Linked DNA regions of Xenopus tropicalis. The protein of the gene in region 2 purifies or fractionates together with the protein of the main gene of each other region. This does not show direct contact. Links are inferred from orthologs where the notes say so. Each region holds a gene or a part of one and is shown on either strand. Other genes may lie near its edges.

The links.
Region 1: the proteins of gna13 (region 2) and arhgef1 purify together in Homo sapiens (affinity purification with western blotting; 5 studies listed by BioGRID and IntAct, with this or other methods). This does not show direct contact. The link is inferred for Xenopus tropicalis from reciprocal best matches to the Homo sapiens genes GNA13 and ARHGEF1.
Region 3: the proteins of gna13 (region 2) and arhgef11 purify together in Homo sapiens (affinity purification with western blotting; 3 studies listed by BioGRID). This does not show direct contact. The link is inferred for Xenopus tropicalis from reciprocal best matches to the Homo sapiens genes GNA13 and ARHGEF11.
Region 4: the proteins of gna13 (region 2) and arhgef12 purify together in Homo sapiens (affinity purification with western blotting; 3 studies listed by BioGRID). This does not show direct contact. The link is inferred for Xenopus tropicalis from reciprocal best matches to the Homo sapiens genes GNA13 and ARHGEF12.

Annotation. Positions count from the first base shown.
Region 1 is NC_030683.2:106,768,913-106,773,090, forward strand, and holds part of arhgef1 (rho guanine nucleotide exchange factor 1), read left to right. Parts: intron 1-1,287; coding exon 1,288-1,323; intron 1,324-3,174; coding exon 3,175-3,333; intron 3,334-3,492; coding exon 3,493-3,601; intron 3,602-4,178. UniProt on the Homo sapiens protein: Seems to play a role in the regulation of RhoA GTPase by guanine nucleotide-binding alpha-12 (GNA12) and alpha-13 (GNA13) subunits. Acts as a GTPase-activating protein (GAP) for GNA12 and GNA13, and as guanine nucleotide exchange factor (GEF) for RhoA GTPase.
Region 2 is NC_030686.2:50,664,596-50,669,514, reverse strand, and holds the start of gna13 (guanine nucleotide-binding protein subunit alpha-13), read left to right. Parts: upstream 1-1,968; 5' UTR 1,969-2,253; coding exon 2,254-2,536; intron 2,537-4,919. Other genes in the region: regulator of G-protein signaling 9, read right to left, coding at 1,699-1,711. UniProt on the Homo sapiens protein: Guanine nucleotide-binding proteins (G proteins) are involved as modulators or transducers in various transmembrane signaling systems.
Region 3 is NC_030684.2:131,917,301-131,921,923, reverse strand, and holds the start of arhgef11 (rho guanine nucleotide exchange factor 11), read left to right. Parts: upstream 1-1,272; 5' UTR 1,273-2,420; coding exon 2,421-2,455; intron 2,456-4,623. UniProt on the Homo sapiens protein: May play a role in the regulation of RhoA GTPase by guanine nucleotide-binding alpha-12 (GNA12) and alpha-13 (GNA13). Acts as guanine nucleotide exchange factor (GEF) for RhoA GTPase and may act as GTPase-activating protein (GAP) for GNA12 and GNA13.
Region 4 is NC_030683.2:78,844,414-78,848,591, reverse strand, and holds part of arhgef12 (rho guanine nucleotide exchange factor 12), read left to right. Parts: intron 1-2,047; coding exon 2,048-2,162; intron 2,163-2,464; coding exon 2,465-2,570; intron 2,571-3,827; coding exon 3,828-4,028; intron 4,029-4,178. UniProt on the Homo sapiens protein: May play a role in the regulation of RhoA GTPase by guanine nucleotide-binding alpha-12 (GNA12) and alpha-13 (GNA13). Acts as guanine nucleotide exchange factor (GEF) for RhoA GTPase and may act as GTPase-activating protein (GAP) for GNA12 and GNA13.

The DNA.
Region 1 (4,178 bases), on a different chromosome or scaffold from region 2:
TTTTTGGCACTTTAACATAACTCCTTCCCCCTTGGTTCTGCAATGTTTGTGCCCTCTAACCTCCTTTCCTTTTACTCCGTAATATCTGAGCCCTCTCCATCTCCTCTCTGTACCCTGCCTGTTTCCTGTCTGTTTGTTCTCCAGTTTACATTCCTTCTCCATTTCCTTCTTTGCTTGTTCTCCAGTAGCAGTGCTCTCTCCATCTCCTTCATGCTTGTTCTCCAGGGTACATTCCCTCAAATCCTCAGACTTGTTCTTGTTTCTTTCCATCTCCAACCTCCTTGTTCTTAAGTCTCCATGGCCTCCCTATATCTTCTCTCCATGTTCTCTAAGCTCCTTATCCTCACAATTTCCTCCTTTCTCAGCCTCCGATAACCATGCCCTCTCCACCTCCTCCCTGCTTGTTTCCCAGTCTCCATGCCCATCCACCTTCATCCATCTTCATTCCCTCCCTACATTCTCCCTGCTCCTCCTCCAGTTTCTGTACTCTTTCAGTCACACATTCAGTCTTCACACTCAGTACAATGGCCACTAAAGTTCAAGCTCAATTTAATATTATTGTAATATGTTATTATAATATTTCACAACCTATGCTTATATTTGGGAAAGTCGGCCCCAGTCTGACTTTCAAATTACAGCCTGGTTTCTAGGGTAAGTGGCACCCTAGCAACTAGATAGTAGTATGAATTTAATATTGCAGAGCTTTAGCGCAACATGTTAAGTGATTAAAAAAACATAAAAATAACAATTAGTAGCAAATTACAATAAATATGTTATCATGCTAAAAGTTAATTTTTAAGGTGATAAAAGCCTTTTACTGTCATTGTCTGTTAAATAAGTCTGCCATGTAGTCAGCACCTCTGTCTCTGCAGCATCTTCTGTAAAGCTTGCATTTGTCTTGATTTCCATTGGGGTGCATGGGTAAGATGCATGGTGGCCTCCTTGGGAATTGCACACTTAGGGGCATATTTATTACAGTGTGTAAGCCAATATAACCAGTGATGTTGCCCATAGCAACCAATCAGCAGTTAGAATTGAACAGTCACCTTCAAGTTAGAAAACAAAAGCAACAATCAACCAATCGGTTGGTATGGGCAACATCACCGGTATAATAAATATGTCACTATGTCTGTGTTGGGCATAGCTCTCTGTTTGTTGCATGGCACTCTTTCACAGTCCCTCTGCCTTTATGGGCGTGCTGGGTGTGTGGGTGGCCTCCTGTCCTAGCTTGTCTTCATGCCATGTTTTGTTTTTCCCTTTTTCCGCTCCTCCCCGTGTTTTTCGCAGATGTTGACAGCAGACCATCCAAAGTTGAGCCCGAAGGTACCTTCCGAACCAAACTCACTAATCACCCCACAACCACCTCTCCACATCTCTCTTCTTCCACATCTTCTCTTTGAGGGGAATAAAAATGCAACTCCTTGGTCTAGCAGAAAGGGGTAACATCCCGGCAGCTGAATACATTTACACAGCTTCAGTATAGGATATAGAATATTTCCACTCTTAATGCAAAAGAATGCCCTGTGCACACAGTGAGCTCTCCTCCTCCTATACATTACAGGGAAGAACAAAACATAGCCCTACTTATAAAAAGGGTATTATTTCTGCTAGCAAATCATTAGAGTGCTTATTAGGAGGCAGGGATGTTAAAACTACTACCCCCAAGCTGTTGCTAAAATACAATTTTATTTCTAAAGCTTCAGTCCCATGAAGCAGCTATGTTTGGCGCATTAGCCTCTCCTTCATCCACTTTGATTTTAGCAGCCACACTCTGTCTCCCAGTGCAAGAAGCATAATTAGCTTCATACAGTAGTTGCTTTCCTGCATTCTTGGAGAGACAGATCTATCTTTAAAGGGTACATAATAAGGACCTGCTAAATAGGGTGTAGTTAGGAATAAGCGGGGGCTACAAATATGGACAAGCTGTAATGCTTACTGTCAGTAACCAGCCTTCAGCCTTTCACTTGTTGTTGAAGTAAAACTCCCTGCAACTGCCCCCCCTTCCCATCCACTGAAAGCTGAATTATTTCCCCTAACCAGGTAGAAGTTATGAAGTCAGAATAGAATATAAAAGTAAGTCAGATGCAACCGAATAACAATTAAAACAAATGCTTTTAAGTCCACGTGTTTTTGGATGCTGGGGTTAGTGACATTTATGTTTGCAGGCTGGAGAAAAGGCAGAATGGTGAGGGTAATAATTCAAAAACCATTTAAAATAGACAAAAAAATGTAAAAAATGCTGATTAGTTGAACAGTTGGTAATGATAGGTCCTTGTCTAACTAAGCTAGCACTATATACATAATACTGAAACCGACCCTTTAAACAACAAAAAACATGTTCAGAGAGCGAGGGGCAAACCAGACAGATATCTGTGGCAGCCTTAATTGTAGCGCCACATCTTTCTTTTATTGTGGGTATTTGTGACATTTTAACCCACCAATCCAATTGCCCCGATCCAATGGGACTATAGAAAGGTCAAAGTGTTCCATTAAGAAGATCAGTGCGCTAAACCTTTCTTTGCTCGTCCTGCAGTGAGAGAGAGAGGCTGCCAGTTGCCACGCGGGTGCTTTTCTGCCAACTCTGCACTCTGTTTACATAGTTTAAATCGAATAAGAAAAGCACCCAGGGGATGAAATGAAGGGGGTAATCTGCTTTAAAGGGCAAGTCACAGAGTGCACTCTTAGTGATTGTTTCGTCAATTGGCGCTTTAAGGGAATAAATAGGAGATGTGTAATTTCATTGCTGTGGGACGAAGGCTTTTAGGCCTTTCATCTGATTTCTCTTTCCTTTCTCTAAAACATGCTCTGTCACTTGGGTTGAGGGAACGGGATTGAGCTAAATCTGATCTTTTTACGCTCCTATATCATATACTAATCATTAATGGGATTTTTCTTTTCTGTATTGTTTTATAAAGCTGACAGTGCCCAGAATCTAAGGTAGAGTAATATAATCCAACAGGAAAATAAAAGTATGTGTTCAAAATGAATTAACGTAACTGGGCTTGGAGCCTGTAATATTCAATGTGATTGTCTAAATTGGAAAAGGAGTTAGAATCTGGTTATGGGTGTAGATAGTGGGAAGGCATTTAGCTAATGTAAAAAAAAATAGCCACATTTTGGTTGCTCTTCTGAGAAGTGATAAAGTCTTTATCGTGACCGCTTGTTTTTTTGCAGCTGAGAAGCCAAACCCGGACAGAAGGGTCAGCCAGGGGCAGAGAACTTTTGATAGGAGTGACAGCAGCACAGCGAAATCCAAGAACAGCGAAGGGCCTGATTCTGTGGTGTCTGTAAATATCATCCCCCCTCCTAATGAGCCCAATGATCCTGACCCAGGTAAGTGTGAGGCACAATAAATGAGCACTAGCATAACCAGCACCTGCACTGGAGAGCATAGTTGAAGGCAGAAGGGGGGGGGGGGTGCATGGGTGGTGCCATTAGGATGGTTCTGGAATGGAATATAACTGCAGTCGTTTCTCTCTTTCTCCTCTGAAGCAGTGACTGATGGGGCATTGTCTAATGATGCATCTGAGGTCCTCAAAGGATCCCCCACCACTGAGCATTGCCCAGCAGACCAGACTGAGGAAAGTGCAGAAAATGAAAGGTAAGGCTTACTGGGGTAAAGCACATTCTGCGAGGCTATTGCTGACACTCTTCCGCATTGTGCCACCTTCCCTTCCTTCTGCTTTTGGGCCCTGCAGAGTGACCCAACTTGCTGCCAGGCTCCTGTGGTGTCCTCCGTCAACTTGTTGCCAAGCTCCTTTGGTCTCCACCATCATGTTGTTGCCAAGCTCCTGTGGTGTCCTCCCAAAAGTTGTTGGCTCTTGTGGTGTTCTAAGTCAATTTACTGCCAAGCTTCTTCCTGTTGCAATTTTGCCGCGCTACCTTGCCAGGCTTCTGAAACGGCAAGGACTTCCACTGGGTGCTTTTTTTTAAGCTTCCATGGTCGCCCTGTTCTCTGTTGCGCCAGATATTATTTGGCTTTCTTCCTTCGTTCTCCCCTTCTCAGATGGACACTGCACACAGACACACAGATTACGCTAGCTTGATTTATACCCCTTCGCCACACATCACCATACACCTCTGCCTTGGATCCATACATTTTGCATCCTATTGGCATCACTGAGTTGGATACACTTGGGGTTGTCGCTTTAAAACCATACTCTTTCTTACCCTACTGC
Region 2 (4,919 bases):
AAAAACTACACATAATAAAAAATGAAGACCAGTAGCAATTTGTCTCAGAATATCCCTCTCTGCATCATAGTAAAGGTTAACGTGGAAGTGAAAGTGAACAACCCCTTTAAGACTAGAATTTCCTGGTGTGACGCTCTACAGCCAACGTAACTCCCACATCAAAGACCAGCGCCCATTCTATGTTTATTTACTTTGTGTTTCCCCCAGCAACCAAATGGTTAACCACCCTAACCCCAACTGTATTCTCATATCCGTGTTCCCTAAGCAGGCACAGACTGTAGGACGGGGCTCGGGGCCCCTTGCTCTAATTAGCAGCACTAATGACACGCTGACTTCCCTTGTATAAGCAGGTTTTACTTCCTACTGTAATTATATATATATATATGGCCTATAAAGCAGGCTCTATGTACTGTGTATTTCCCTGTATACTTGAGCAAATAGTTGTTAGCCCGTGTGTGATTGGCTGGAGAGTAATAGAAGAACCCCCACCCTATTGTGTAACAGCGAGGCGACCATGTTTCAGGGCTTTTCAGAACAACTTAAAAAGGGCGATATTACTTGGCATCTCCAGCATGACAAGGGCTTAAATATGTGCCTTATTTCTAGTAGCCAATCAGAATGCACCATATAGCCAGGTATAGGATAGTAATGGTGGCTGCAGTCCCCATGATTAAACAGAAGGTTGGCTATATATTCCTTTAAAGGGGTGGTTCACCTTTAAGTATGTTATAGAATTGCTAATTCTAAGCAACTTTTCAACTGGTCTTCATTTTTTGTTTTTGAATTATTTGCCTTTTTCCTCTGCCTCTTTGCAGCTTTCAAATGGGGGTCACTGACCCCGGCAGCCAAACCCTATTGCTCTGTGAGGCTCCAGTTTTATTGTTATTGTTACTTTATATCACTTATTCTTCTTTTCAGCCCCTCTCCTATTAATATACCTGTCTCTCATTCGAACCACTCCCTGGTTGCTAAGGTGATTTGAGTCTTAGAAACCAAATAGCTGCTGAAACTGCAAGCTGCCGAACAAAAAACCTGAAATAATTAAAAATCTACAAGTAATAAAAAATGAAGACCAATTGCAAATTGTCTCAGAATGTTACTCTCTACGTCATACTAAAAGTAACTCAAAGGTGGGCAACTCCTTTACGGTACCAACCCCCTTAGCAATAATGAGTGCAAATGGTTAACATGAAATTCCCTTGCATGGACATAACCAGTTATTATTAGGGCTGCGCCGAATCCCGGATTTGGTTTGAGATTCAGTAGAATCCGTCGGGGTGGGTTTGGGGGTTCGGCCGAACCCAAAAAAGTGGGTTTGCTGCATCCCTAGTCATTATTAATAACATGTATTTATAAAGCGCCAACATATTCCATAGCGCAGTACAATAATGGGTTATATAATTACTTAGATTGTAAGCGCTACGGGGCAGGGACCTCCTTCCTACTGTGTCTCATACCACATGGCACTTTATATATATATATATATATACATCTATATACAGAATGAGGGGCATTTGACACTACACAAGCCCCTCAGCAAGATGGAGCAAGTCTAGAGAGCAAACTTCCTGGCAGCCAATAGAATTGCAGAAGGAGAATCACATGATGAGGTGCGATAGCCGCCAGACTGCAAGTAGAAGGGCAAAATGACCAAACTGAATATTATATATAAATAATAATAAAATATAGAGGTATTACTTTGGCCTCTCATCTCTTCAGTAAGCTGAGGCTTTTATAGGGGAGAGTAATTTCTCAGGCAGCCTACAGAAGGGGTATCCTGCCACAGAATGAGGGGCAATTGACACCACAGAACAGAAGCCCCTCAGCAAGATGGAGCAAGTCTAGAGAGCGAAGTGTCTGGCAGCCAATAGAATTGCAGAAGGAGGATCACATGACGAGGTGCGCTAGCCAGTAGAAGGGCAAAGGAAGCATCACGTGAGGAAGAGTTGCAAGATGGCGGATGGTGTTGCCGGGTTCGGGCCGCGCCCCCAGTTCCCGCGTTGCTCGGTGTAGACGAGACGTTTCCCAGCGCGGCGGAACCCTAGAGAAACGATAGCCGCTTTCTCTGCCTCACACACCGGCGCCTTAGCGAACGGAAGGAACCGCGCGTTCCCGCCTTCCACTCAGAGCGAAAGGAGTCGGGGGCGCGCACGTACCCACCCAGCGCCGCTCCCGCGCACGCACCGCCAGGACCGCTCCCCCGTCCCAGGGCCGCCGATGAGGCAGGAGTGAGCCAGGGCGAGTGTGTGTAAGATGGCGGACTTCCTGCCGTCCCGCTCCGTGCTGTCCGTGTGCTTCCCCAACTGTGTGCTCACCAGCCGGGAGGCCGAGCAGCAGCGCAAGTCCAAGGAGATCGATCGCTGCCTCTCCCGGGAGAAAACCTACGTCAAGCGCCTGGTGAAGATCCTGCTGCTGGGGGCCGGGGAGAGCGGCAAGTCCACCTTCCTCAAGCAGATGCGCATCATCCACGGGCAGGACTTCGACCTGCGGGCCAAGGAGGAGTTCCGGGCAACCATCTACAGCAACGTCATCAAAGGTACCCGGCCCGGGGCAATTGTGTCACTAGTTACCCACTGGGGGTAACTAAACCTGCCCCAGCAGGATACCCCCCCCCCCTCATGTGTAGGAATGGGTTAATTACCCCGGGGAAGGGATTAGGGGGGTATGTAGGGCAATTATAGCAAACCTACCCACAGGGGGGGCACTTAAACTGGGGGTAACTAAACCTGCCCCAGCAGGATACCCCCCCATGTGTAGGAATGGGTTAATTACCCCGGGGAAGGGATTAGGGGGGTATGTAGGGCAATTATAGCAAGCCTACCCACAGGGGGGGCACTTAAACTGGGGGTAACTAAACCTGCCCCAGCAGGATACCCCCCCCCCCATGTGTAGGAATGGATTAATTACCCCGGGGATGTGATTAGGGGGGTATGTAGGGCAACTATAGCAAACCTACGCACAGGGGGGGCACTTAAACTGGGGGTAACTAAACCTGCCCCAGCAGGATACCCCCCCCATGTGCAGGAATGGGTTAATTACCCCAGGGAAGTGATTAGGGGGGTATGTAGGGCAATTATAGCAAACCTACCCACATGGGGGGCACTTGAACTGGGGGTAACTAAACCTGCCCCAGCAGGATACCCCCCCATGTGCAGGAATGTGTTAATTACCCTGGGGACGTGACTAGCCCTACATACCCCCATGTAGGGCAACTATAGCAAACCTACCCATGGGGGTGGCACTTAAACTGGGGGTAACTAAACCTGCCCCAGCAGAGTGCCCCCCTATGTGCAGGAATGAGTTAATTACCCTGGGGAAGTGATTAGGGGGGGTATGTAGGGCAACTATAGCAAACCTACACAGGGGTGGCACTTAAACTGGGGGTACCTAATTGCTCCCCCCCCCCCCCCGCATGCAGAATGTGTTAATTTCTCCGGGAAAGTGAATAGGGGGGTATGTAGGGCAGCAATAGCAAACCTGCCCCATCAGATTGCCCCCGTATGTGAGGTGGGTATGTGCAGGAATGTGTTAATTACCCCGGGGAAGTGATTTTAGGGGTATATAGGGCAACTATAGCAAACACCCACAGGGGTGGCACTTAAACTGGGGGTAACTAAATCTGCCCCATCAGAGTACCCCCCCCCATGTGCAGGAATGTGTTAATTACCCCGGGGAAGTGATTAGGGGGGTATGAGGGGCAACGATAGCAAACCTACCCACATGGGTGGCACTTAAACTGGGTTTACTTAAACCTGCCCCATCAGTGTACCCCCTATGTGCAGGAGTGTGTTAATTACCCTGGGGAAGTGATTAGGGGGGTATGTAGGGCAACAATAGCAAACCTACACACAAGGGTGGCACTTAAACTGGGGGTACCCAAACCTGCCCCATCAGTGTACCCCCTATGTGCAGGAGTGTGTTAATTACCCTGGGGAAGTGATTAGGGGGGTATGTAGGGCAACTAAAACAAACCTATATGTATGGGCTAGGGGTATCTACAGAAATGTCTTCCAATATACCCCAGGGCATTTATCCAAAAATCTACCCCTTTGTTGGACAGTTAGATTGGCGGAGTATCTGCAGCAGCATTATATTTTGTTCCTGGGGGGCGGTTGTGCTAAGGGGCATCAGTAGCCCCGTTACCCCAGGGGTTTGAGTGGCGAGCGCTATATAAAGGTACCCCAGTTCCAGTAGTGGGGGTAATAGTTTGTACATCGTCAAATTTTACCCTTTCAGAGGGGCACGGTTATATTGGGGAAGTGCTTACCCACAGCAGCACTATTGGTGCCACCCCGGGGGTCACAACATCCTTACTAATACCCCAGGGGGCAGGGTGGGACGTGGCACTGAAGGCGTTGACATCACGTGTGAAGTTATCTGGGACTGGGTGACAGTTGCTGTATGTTTACAAGGTACCGGGGGGGGGGGTCCATATTATGGGGCCCCAGTGTTCTCTAGTTACCCCTAGTGGGGCATACATGTGCTTGTTGGTAATGACATCCAAGTGACACCAAAGGGGGCAATTATAATGGGACCTTTGGGTAACCTGTGCAAGGATTAATTAGATCCATGGGGGGAGGGATGTAGATACCCCTGGGGTTTGGGCAGATTTTGCGGAATTTGGGGAGGGGGCAATTGTGTCAAAATGATCAACTTGGCTACCACTGCAAAGTTACCCCCAAAGCTGGGCAGCCCAGAGGGGTGTCATCAGTGGTTCATCTTCCCCTTTAGTAAGTACAGCGTACAGTAATGGCCCCTCAGTGACACTAACCCTTGGATAGGGTAACCGGGGGGGGGGGGGGCATAATGGGGGGCGGGGTTTTGCAGCAGTGACATTAAGTGTTATCCATCATGGCTTCTACTCTGGCTTCATTCAGCTTCCCCAAAGGTCACCAAGGTAACGGGTACACTTATAGGCA
Region 3 (4,623 bases), on a different chromosome or scaffold from region 2:
CCCCTAAGAGTCAAAGACACAAGAGGATAGAGGTCCCTGCCCCATAGAGCTTACAATCTAGATGGGAGGGTAAGAGTCAAAGGCACAAGAGAATGGAGGTCCCTGCCCCGTAGCGCTTACAATCTATATGGGAGGGTAAGAGTCAAAGGCACAAGAGGATGGAGGTCCCTGCCCCGTAGAGCTTACAATCTATATGGGAGGGTAAGAGTCAAAGACACAAGAGGATGGAGGTCCCTGCCCCGTAGAGCTTACAATCTATATGGAAGGGTAAGAGTCAAAGACACAAGAGGATGGAGGTCCCTGCCCCGTAGAGCTTACAATCTATATGGGAGGGTAAGAGTCAAAGGCACAAGAGGATGGAGGTCCCTGCCCCGTAGAGCTTACAATCTATATGGGAGGGTAAGAGTCAAAGACACAAGAGGATGGAGGTCCCTGCCCCATAGAGCTTACAATCTATATGGGAGGGTAAGAGTCAAAGGCACAAGAGGATGGAGGTCCCTGCCCCGTAGAACTTACAGTCTATATGGGAGGGTAAGAGCCAAAGACACAAGAGGATGGAGGTCCCTGCCCCGTAGAGCTTACAATCTATATGGGAGGGTAAGAGTCAAAGACACAAGAGGATGGAGGTCCCTGCCCCATAGATCTTACAATCTATATGGGAGGGTAAGAGTCAAAGGCACAAGAGGATGGAGGTCCCTGCCCCGTAGAGCTTACAATCTATATGGGAGGGTAAGAGTCAAAGGCACAAGAGGATGGAGGTCCCTGCCCCGTAGAGCTTACAATCTATATGGGAGGGTAAGAGTCAAAGACACAAGAGGATGGAGGTCCCTGCCCCGTAGAGCTTACAATCTATATGGGAGGGTAAGAGTCAAAGGCACAAGAGGATGGAGGTCCCTGCCCCGTAGAGCTTACAATCTATATGATATATAGTTACATTTATATAGCACCAGCAATGCACTGCCACACAATAGGAATGTAAATAGCTTCCTGTCCCAGAGGGATTGTATAGGAAAGTGGGGAAAATAAATATACCAGGCGTTTGGGGCTTTGCCTGTGTTTCTGTGACTAGATTTGACAGCAAGGAACACACAAGGGGAAAGCTGCCGCTTCAATGCAGCATTATGTTCTGTCTCTGTCCCCTTCCCTGAAGCAGGCAGGAGGGGAGGGAATTAGTGGGGGGAAAGGAGAGGGAGGGAGCTGAGGGAGGAGAGAGGGGAGGGAAGGGAGGTGGGGAGAGGACACAGAAGAGGGAGGCTCACTTTCCTGCACTCTACCCAGTAGCCAGAGAAGAGGAGGTTGGGGGGGTGAGGGGATCTGCCTAGCCTGTGTGTTTATTGCAGCTCCTGCTTGTATTTATGCAGAAAGGGGGGAGGGAGGGCAAAGAAAGAAAGAAGACTAAAGGCATGAAAAAAGGAAAGAGGGAGGGGATTCCAAGACAGAAAATAACTGATTTTTTCCCTTCTATCCCAGGCTCCTACCCCTGCTCACACACCCTGCACACTGCTGCTGCATGTCCCACTCTGTATTGTATTGGGCTGCAGCATTGGGGGGACCTTTGTGCTTCTTGTAGGCCCCTCTCTCTCCTGCTGCTGCTGCTGCTGCTGCATGGGGAAAGGGGGAGGGGACTGCAGCAATCCAGGCAGGGGGCTCTAGGAAAGCCTGGGGATTTCACAGGCCTAACACTGAACCAAAGGGAGACAGAAAGGACACACTCCATGGATCTGCACTGAAGGAGGAGAAATCCCAAGAGGAACCCAGCCTGGAAGGATCTCCTTGGCTAGCACCTGGGCTGCTCACTTTCTTTTTTTTTTTTTTTTGCACAAAACACCAAAATAGAGGATTTTTTTGTTTTTGTTTTCCACCTTTACCCCATTTCTTCTCCCCCCCCCCCCTTTTTTTTTTTTAATTCTCAGTTTTATGATGACCTAAAACAAAAGCCTTTTTGTTTAGCGCTTTCATTTTATGTATAGCTGGAGCAGCCCTACTCAGGATTATATTATTTTACTGAACGAGGATAAAGGGAAAAAAAAAAACAAAAAACGCCTGTTGGAAGATTGGGGAGGATCAAGAGAAAAAACCCTTAGGATTTTATCTTATTTTATTATTTTTATGCTGGAACCAGGATCTATCCACCTTTTTGGTTGAAAGAATAAGGAACCGTATATAAATATATATTTTTAATTTCTTTTAGTAATTATTATTGGGGGAGAAAAAGCCAGTTTGTTAGGCTGAAGGAGGTGAGACCATGAGAGTTGTGCAGTGCAACATGGGGCTGTGCGTCCCTTTAACATTTAAAATGGGCATTTCAGTGCTTTGAAATCCTATCTATTCTCCTTGCTTCCCTCCTCCTATTATCCTGCTTTTTTTTTTTATTTGCCCCCGAGTTAAAACCTCTGGAATTTTCGGAATATTCTGCTACCATGAGCATCAGTTCTGCACAGACATCCGTAGACCGGTAAATATACTTTCTGCTTATTCTATCTGATCCAATATTAATGCAATTGTATATGTGTCCTTCCTGTGCCGGGCTAAATCACATGGGGAGGATTGTAAAAAAAGAAAAAATCTATACTTGTGTGTAGTGAATAAGGGTTAAGACACACGGAGCTACTAGTAGCAGCTACTTGTCATGGTTACTAAAATAGACAATGCTGATAATTGTCTCTACGTGTTTTTTTAGCAGAGGCATTTCTCAGTATTGTCTATAGCAGAGTATTACTGGGGTTTAGTAGCTGCTACTTTTACTGGGGTTTAGTAGCTCCGTGTGTCTTCACCCTAAAGGGTAAATATGTTAAATCTTAAAGAAATAAGTATTTAAATGTACTCGTGTATAAATAAAAATATGCAGGAATATACTGCATACATGTGTGTTTTATATAAATGTACATATTCAACATTATATACAGACACCGATTTCTATATTATATATATATATATATATATATATATATATATAAATATATATAGAGAGAGAGAGAGTGTATATAGTGATACCACAATTTTATTTACAGATCTAGAATAACATGCAGGCAGATAGCTGCAAAGCTGCAGATCCATATACATTTATACATTAAAGGAAATGCTGCTGCCCCTTTATTATATGTGACAGGTTCTTTTCCACCCCTCCTCCCTTATGGCATTCGATGTGGCCTCCCAGAATTCCTTGGCGATGCAGATATCTGCTTTATAACAGCCCCACTATACTACAGGATATTACTAAAAATAACCCATATTTATAACATGTTTCGGGAAACATACTGTCTGGGCTGTAGGTGTGTGTCGGCTGGCTGCGTCCCTTCAAGTGATATTTTGGGTCTTCCTTCAGGCTTGCACAGTGTTACATTACAATTTTTGATTGGTTATTAGGCCTCAGAATGTGAGGAATTATTTATGATGACTAGGTGCAGAATTGTGCCCATTAAAATGCCAAGAGCCACCCGCTGGCACAACTGGTGCTCATTTATACTAGCAGTTTGCCCATTGGTAATGTTTACATTGGTACATAAGATGGAAAGATAGCCTGTTCCTATTTAATAGCGCCCTATGCCTTGTGCCTGCTTTTGTCAAGCGGTACGTACATGGCTTATTTAGTGACCCCTAATTAACGAGAGTGCAAGTTTATACCCAGTAGTGTAACTAGGATGTGCAGAACCAGAGGCGGCCTTTTGGGATGCTGCCCCCTCACACCCGACGCTTACCTTTCTGAGCGTCATAGAAGTGCGACTGGAAATATAAAAATCAGAATTTTGGCTCTTAAAGCTTTTTGCCTCCCCTGTTAACTTGTGGGGCTACTATCTAAACTTGGGTCATGGCAGCAGCCCCTGTGCAGACCAGGTCTGGACTGGGATTCTGAATAGGCCCTGGCATTTTAAGTGCACAGAGGCCCAATAAATAGTGACTGCCTATGGCATCTTAGGGTGAAGACACACAGAGCTATTAGTAGCAGCTACTTGTTGTGGCTACTAAAAAACAATGCTGATCATTTACTGATAATTGTCTCTACATGTGTTTTAGCTGAGACAATTCTTAGTGTTGTCTATGGCAGGGTATTTTCTGGAGATTAGTAGACATGACAAGTAGGTGCTACTAGTAGCCCAGTGTGTCTTCGACCTTACAGCAGCCCCAGAATCGACAGATTGCCAGTCTGTGCCTGGTGTAGACCCCACAACTAGATGGGGGAACAGGGGACCTGGAAAGGCCTGATGGGGGAACGAGTTTATTTGCAGGTCCCACAATGTGCTTGTGCCCAGGATTGTAATGTTCCCACATAAACAGAGCAGGGGCAGATTGTTTTTTTTGCTGGGGGGGCTGGGTGCAAGAAATGATGACACTGTGTACACCCATGTTCTACTTGCATTCCACCACTTCTCTCACAGGTGCAAGCTGAGGGCATTAGCGTGCTTCGGCATAAATCATTGTGACTACTAAGTCGGATGCTAAATTTTGCACTTGAGTGCAGTGGGTGCAGTTACCCAGAAAAATTGTGGCTTTATGGGGAATTCCTCCCAGTTTGCTCTACCATAGAAAATGAGCCTATTTAGCCGCTACTTGTTGGTTGCACCCCGTTAGGCCCTACTGAAGGACCTGTGATTATCATACTAAAATATGCCGGTCATGGTCTAT
Region 4 (4,178 bases), on a different chromosome or scaffold from region 2:
ACCTGGGTCCACCTGCAGGAATTTAAACAGTTGGAAAACTGCTCTGGCCATATATAGTGGGGACAGCCAGGAAGAACTTCACCTCGTTATCGCAACTGTAAGTATGTCTGCGATCTCTTTTTCTCCCCCCAGTAATCTCTAGTTGTGTTCCCTCACTTGCGATCCTGCCTCCTGTCCTATCTCTCCCTTCGTTCCCAGTTCCGCCTGCTCCCTCACTTGCCATCAATCGTGCCTCCTGTCAAATTCAGCAGTCAGCAGTCGGGGCTGGAAAGAGTCACGGAGAGATGTTGCGGCTATAACTCACTGCTGGATTTGACAGGAGGCACGAACGATGGCAAGTGAGGGAGCAGGCAGAGCTGGACACGAAGGGAGAGATAGGACAGGAGGCAGGATTGCTAGTGAGGGAGCAGGAAGGGCTCGGAACAGAGGGAGAGCTATGACAGGAGGCAGGGTCACAAGAGAGGGAACTGGAGGAGTTAGGAAGGGGGGGGGGGAGAGAAAAGGTTGTGCTGCTATAACTGACTGCTGGATTTGACTGGAGGCACAATCGCAAATCAGGGAGCAGGGGGGCTAGGAAGGAGGGTGAGAAAAGATCCTGATCAGTCCTGTGAACCTCCTGTAAAATCCAGCTGTTAATTATACCAGCACAATCTTTTGAGTTCCAGCTCCCCTCCACTGAATATTTTTTATCTGTTCCCAGCACAATACTTTTCTGGTAAGGCATCCTAGTGATCCCTTCTCCCCAGCCCATGCCACTGCTGTGCCAATTTTTTCATATTTCATATATTTCACATTTTCTGTTAACCATTACCTTTTTTCCAATCTTGCTGTACCAGAAATATGTTTCCAAAAAGTTCCACATCTTACATTCTTTTATTCCTTGTTCCTCTGTGCCCTTATCCTGTCCACAATCTCCTCTACCTGTTTGCTCCTGCCATTCTGTCCTATATTTATCTTTGCTGCTTCTGTGTGCCATGCTGCCTCCCATCTGTATCCTCACTACTCCAGTGTGCCATACTGCCTCCCATCTGTACCCTCAGAGCTCCAGTGTGCCATACTGCTTCCCATCTGTATCCTCAGAGCTCCAGTGTGCCATACTGCTTCCCATCAGCTACACCTCAGATTTTCAAAAACTGGCAGAAAACATGCAGTGCCAGATTTCACACTAATATTTTGATATTATATAACATTTTAATATAGTGTATATTATTATTATTAAAAATTGTGTTTGCGCTACTGTTCACGTATTGTGTTGCTCACGAACAAGTTTTGCAGCTGAATGTTACTCACGGGGTAAAAAAGGTTGGGGATCCCTGTATTACCTATATTGTAAAAGTGCCACTCACCAAGGTGATTAAAATACCTTTGTTTCAAGAGCAGTTATAAATGATATGCAATGTAAATAACCTATTAAATATAACCATGACAGACTACAGCTGGTCCAGGGTAATATGTATAGATATGTGTGTAACATTTAGTAGTATATGAGGTGTGTGTGTGTGTGTGTGTGTAAGAGTGTTAATATATGTCTCCCAAAGGGGAAGACAAATATATCTCCATGTTCCAGAATATATGCCTGCCTTCATTGTTGCACCCGCCATCATGTATCTGTAAAAAGCAATAGTATATGTTAAATTAGTTTGTCATTATTACAAATTTACTTTCCAAAATTTGTGAATGATCAGGGCAGGTTCATACACTATGTGACCGATACTATTTAATAGAAACTATCTGTTGGTTAAGTATTCATTCTGGGGGTATAGTGTTTCTTATAGTTAAATGCACACCTACCATGGGATAGCTGAATAAGTGTGCTTGAGGACCTAAATAGATTTCATAGATCTGCATTCTTTGTATACTTCTTGTAGATTGTAAGCTCTTTTGGGCAGGGCCCTCTTCACCTTTTGTATCGGTTATTGATTGCTTTATATGGTACTCTGTATGTCCAATGTATGAAACCCACTTATTGTACAGCACTGCGGAATATGCTGGCGCTTTATAAATAAATGTTAATAATAATATACTGAAAAATGCTGTTTATTCACAGCAATACCATACAATATGTGATTCTAACCTATATGAAGCATCTTGGTGTGAAAGTTAAAGAGCCACGAAGTCTTGAACAGAAACGTGGTCGAATTGGATTCCTCCCAAAAATTAAGGTAAATTAAGATATCTTAATCTTCCAGTGTTTTATATTGTCCGCATTAGTATCCATTAATGTCCAGTAGTACCGTAAGCTTTATATGCAGTTAAAAAAAATCGATAAAAAAATCCATATATACAGATATGTATATGCATATACAGATATCTAAGTAAATTTATATCTGTGTATGTACATATGTGTGTATATATCTATATACATATATACAGCTATAAATCACATTTGCACTTTGATGAAAACACTAAAAATATTGTCTACTTATCTGAAATAAGCAAACCTTCTGTTTTGCTCTTGTTTTAGCAAAGTATGAAGAAAGATCGGGAGGGTGAGGAAAAGGTGAAGCGAAGAGGGTTTCCCAGCATCCTTGCACCTCAGAGGAAGCCTAGCCGACAAGATAGTAATGCAAGTACGTATAAATCCTACCAGTCACATTGCAAATTGTTGTCACTAATTATCTAAATATTCCAACCCAGGACCTCAGACTATATGGCTAATTTGGTATTCTCAATAACTGAATATTTGTCTGCATGCTAATGAGGATGATGAGTGTGTATAAGAGAGTGAGCATGTCAAAAACTCCTCCAGGAACAGTACCAATCGTTATATGAAGAAGCAGCATATAAATAACTGGAATTCAGAATAGAGTGATTAAATAATAATGGTTAGCTCTAAAATATAGTTGAGAAACATCTATAATATCTCAGCCTATGTTGGCAGGTATATCACTGATAACCTGTGATGCAGATACTGCTGTTTAAAGGGATACAATCTTTCATTTAAAATGTAATGTTAAGTAAATCCAGCTAAAAAATGAAAAGGTAGTTTCTCAGTTTATATATGAAAAATGTACATCCTTGCAGTTTCTTTCCAGTCAATGTTTCACTGCACAGAATGAGTCTGAAGTGTATATATGTGCCTATTTGCCATGAAAACTCCCTCTGTAAGGCACTTACAGAATTATTCTATGAGTTTATCAGGAGAATACTGCATATCTTTACTTGGGCCTGAATATCCAGTTGGACATTTACCCTTATATGAGCATATGTGCTGGTCATAGTAAGGTTGCAGTAACAACCAAATAAGTGCATATTAAAACTCCATACACAAAGCAGTTGTGTCCAGATTGCTACTTACTAATCTGAATTAGTAAGGCACAGTATTCAGAGGCACCAGAAGAGCCATGGACTTTACATCTGCACTTACAGCCTCCAAGCTTCTAATAGCCAAAATGTTTTAGTGGAACTGGCAAGTAATTAACAGGTATATGTTTAGCAGCTATAGAGTCCTATATTTGATTTCCGCATGAGCAGTACAGGTGTATATTCAAGGAGGTTTTACTTTCTCACCATACATGTTTCAGCTTGTTACTTCTGTTTCCTCATACAATTAGTTCCAAATAAATTAGACCACACTGCGTGTGAATAGGTTGTAAACTTCACTGGGGCAGGGAATTATGTAAATGGTGTATAACCTCTTTAAAACTCTGCAGAATATGTTGGCGTTATGTAAATAATCCATTTTGCCATATAACTTGTACCATTGGCATGAATATTTGTGTCCCCCCCCAACTAGTTCGCCAAATTAATATGGTTCCCGTTAGGGAAAAAATGATAGAAAAACTGGTTTATTAACACTTTTACGATGTCTTGATTTTTATGTTCAGTTGGCAGGGCTATGGAACTTCAGCGGCCACGCCACCCCAAGCACTTATCCACATCTTCATCCAGTAGCCCTGAACCAGCAGATGGAAGTAGATTGCGCACTAGCGGTGGCTCCATTGAGGGTTCTGACACACCGTTCTCTCCATCATCTAATTTGGGTGCAGCATACACCTTTCAGGAAGTTGGCAGAGAAGTGGAAGGAAGTTAGTACCTCTCTTACAAGACAAATTTATAAGTTATTTAATTGCTTATTTTTTAATTGCTATGGAAAACATTAAAATACAGAGTTGCAGGGACCAGTATCCTTAAAACACATCAAATATATTGGTGCTATGTAAATAAAAGGATAATAA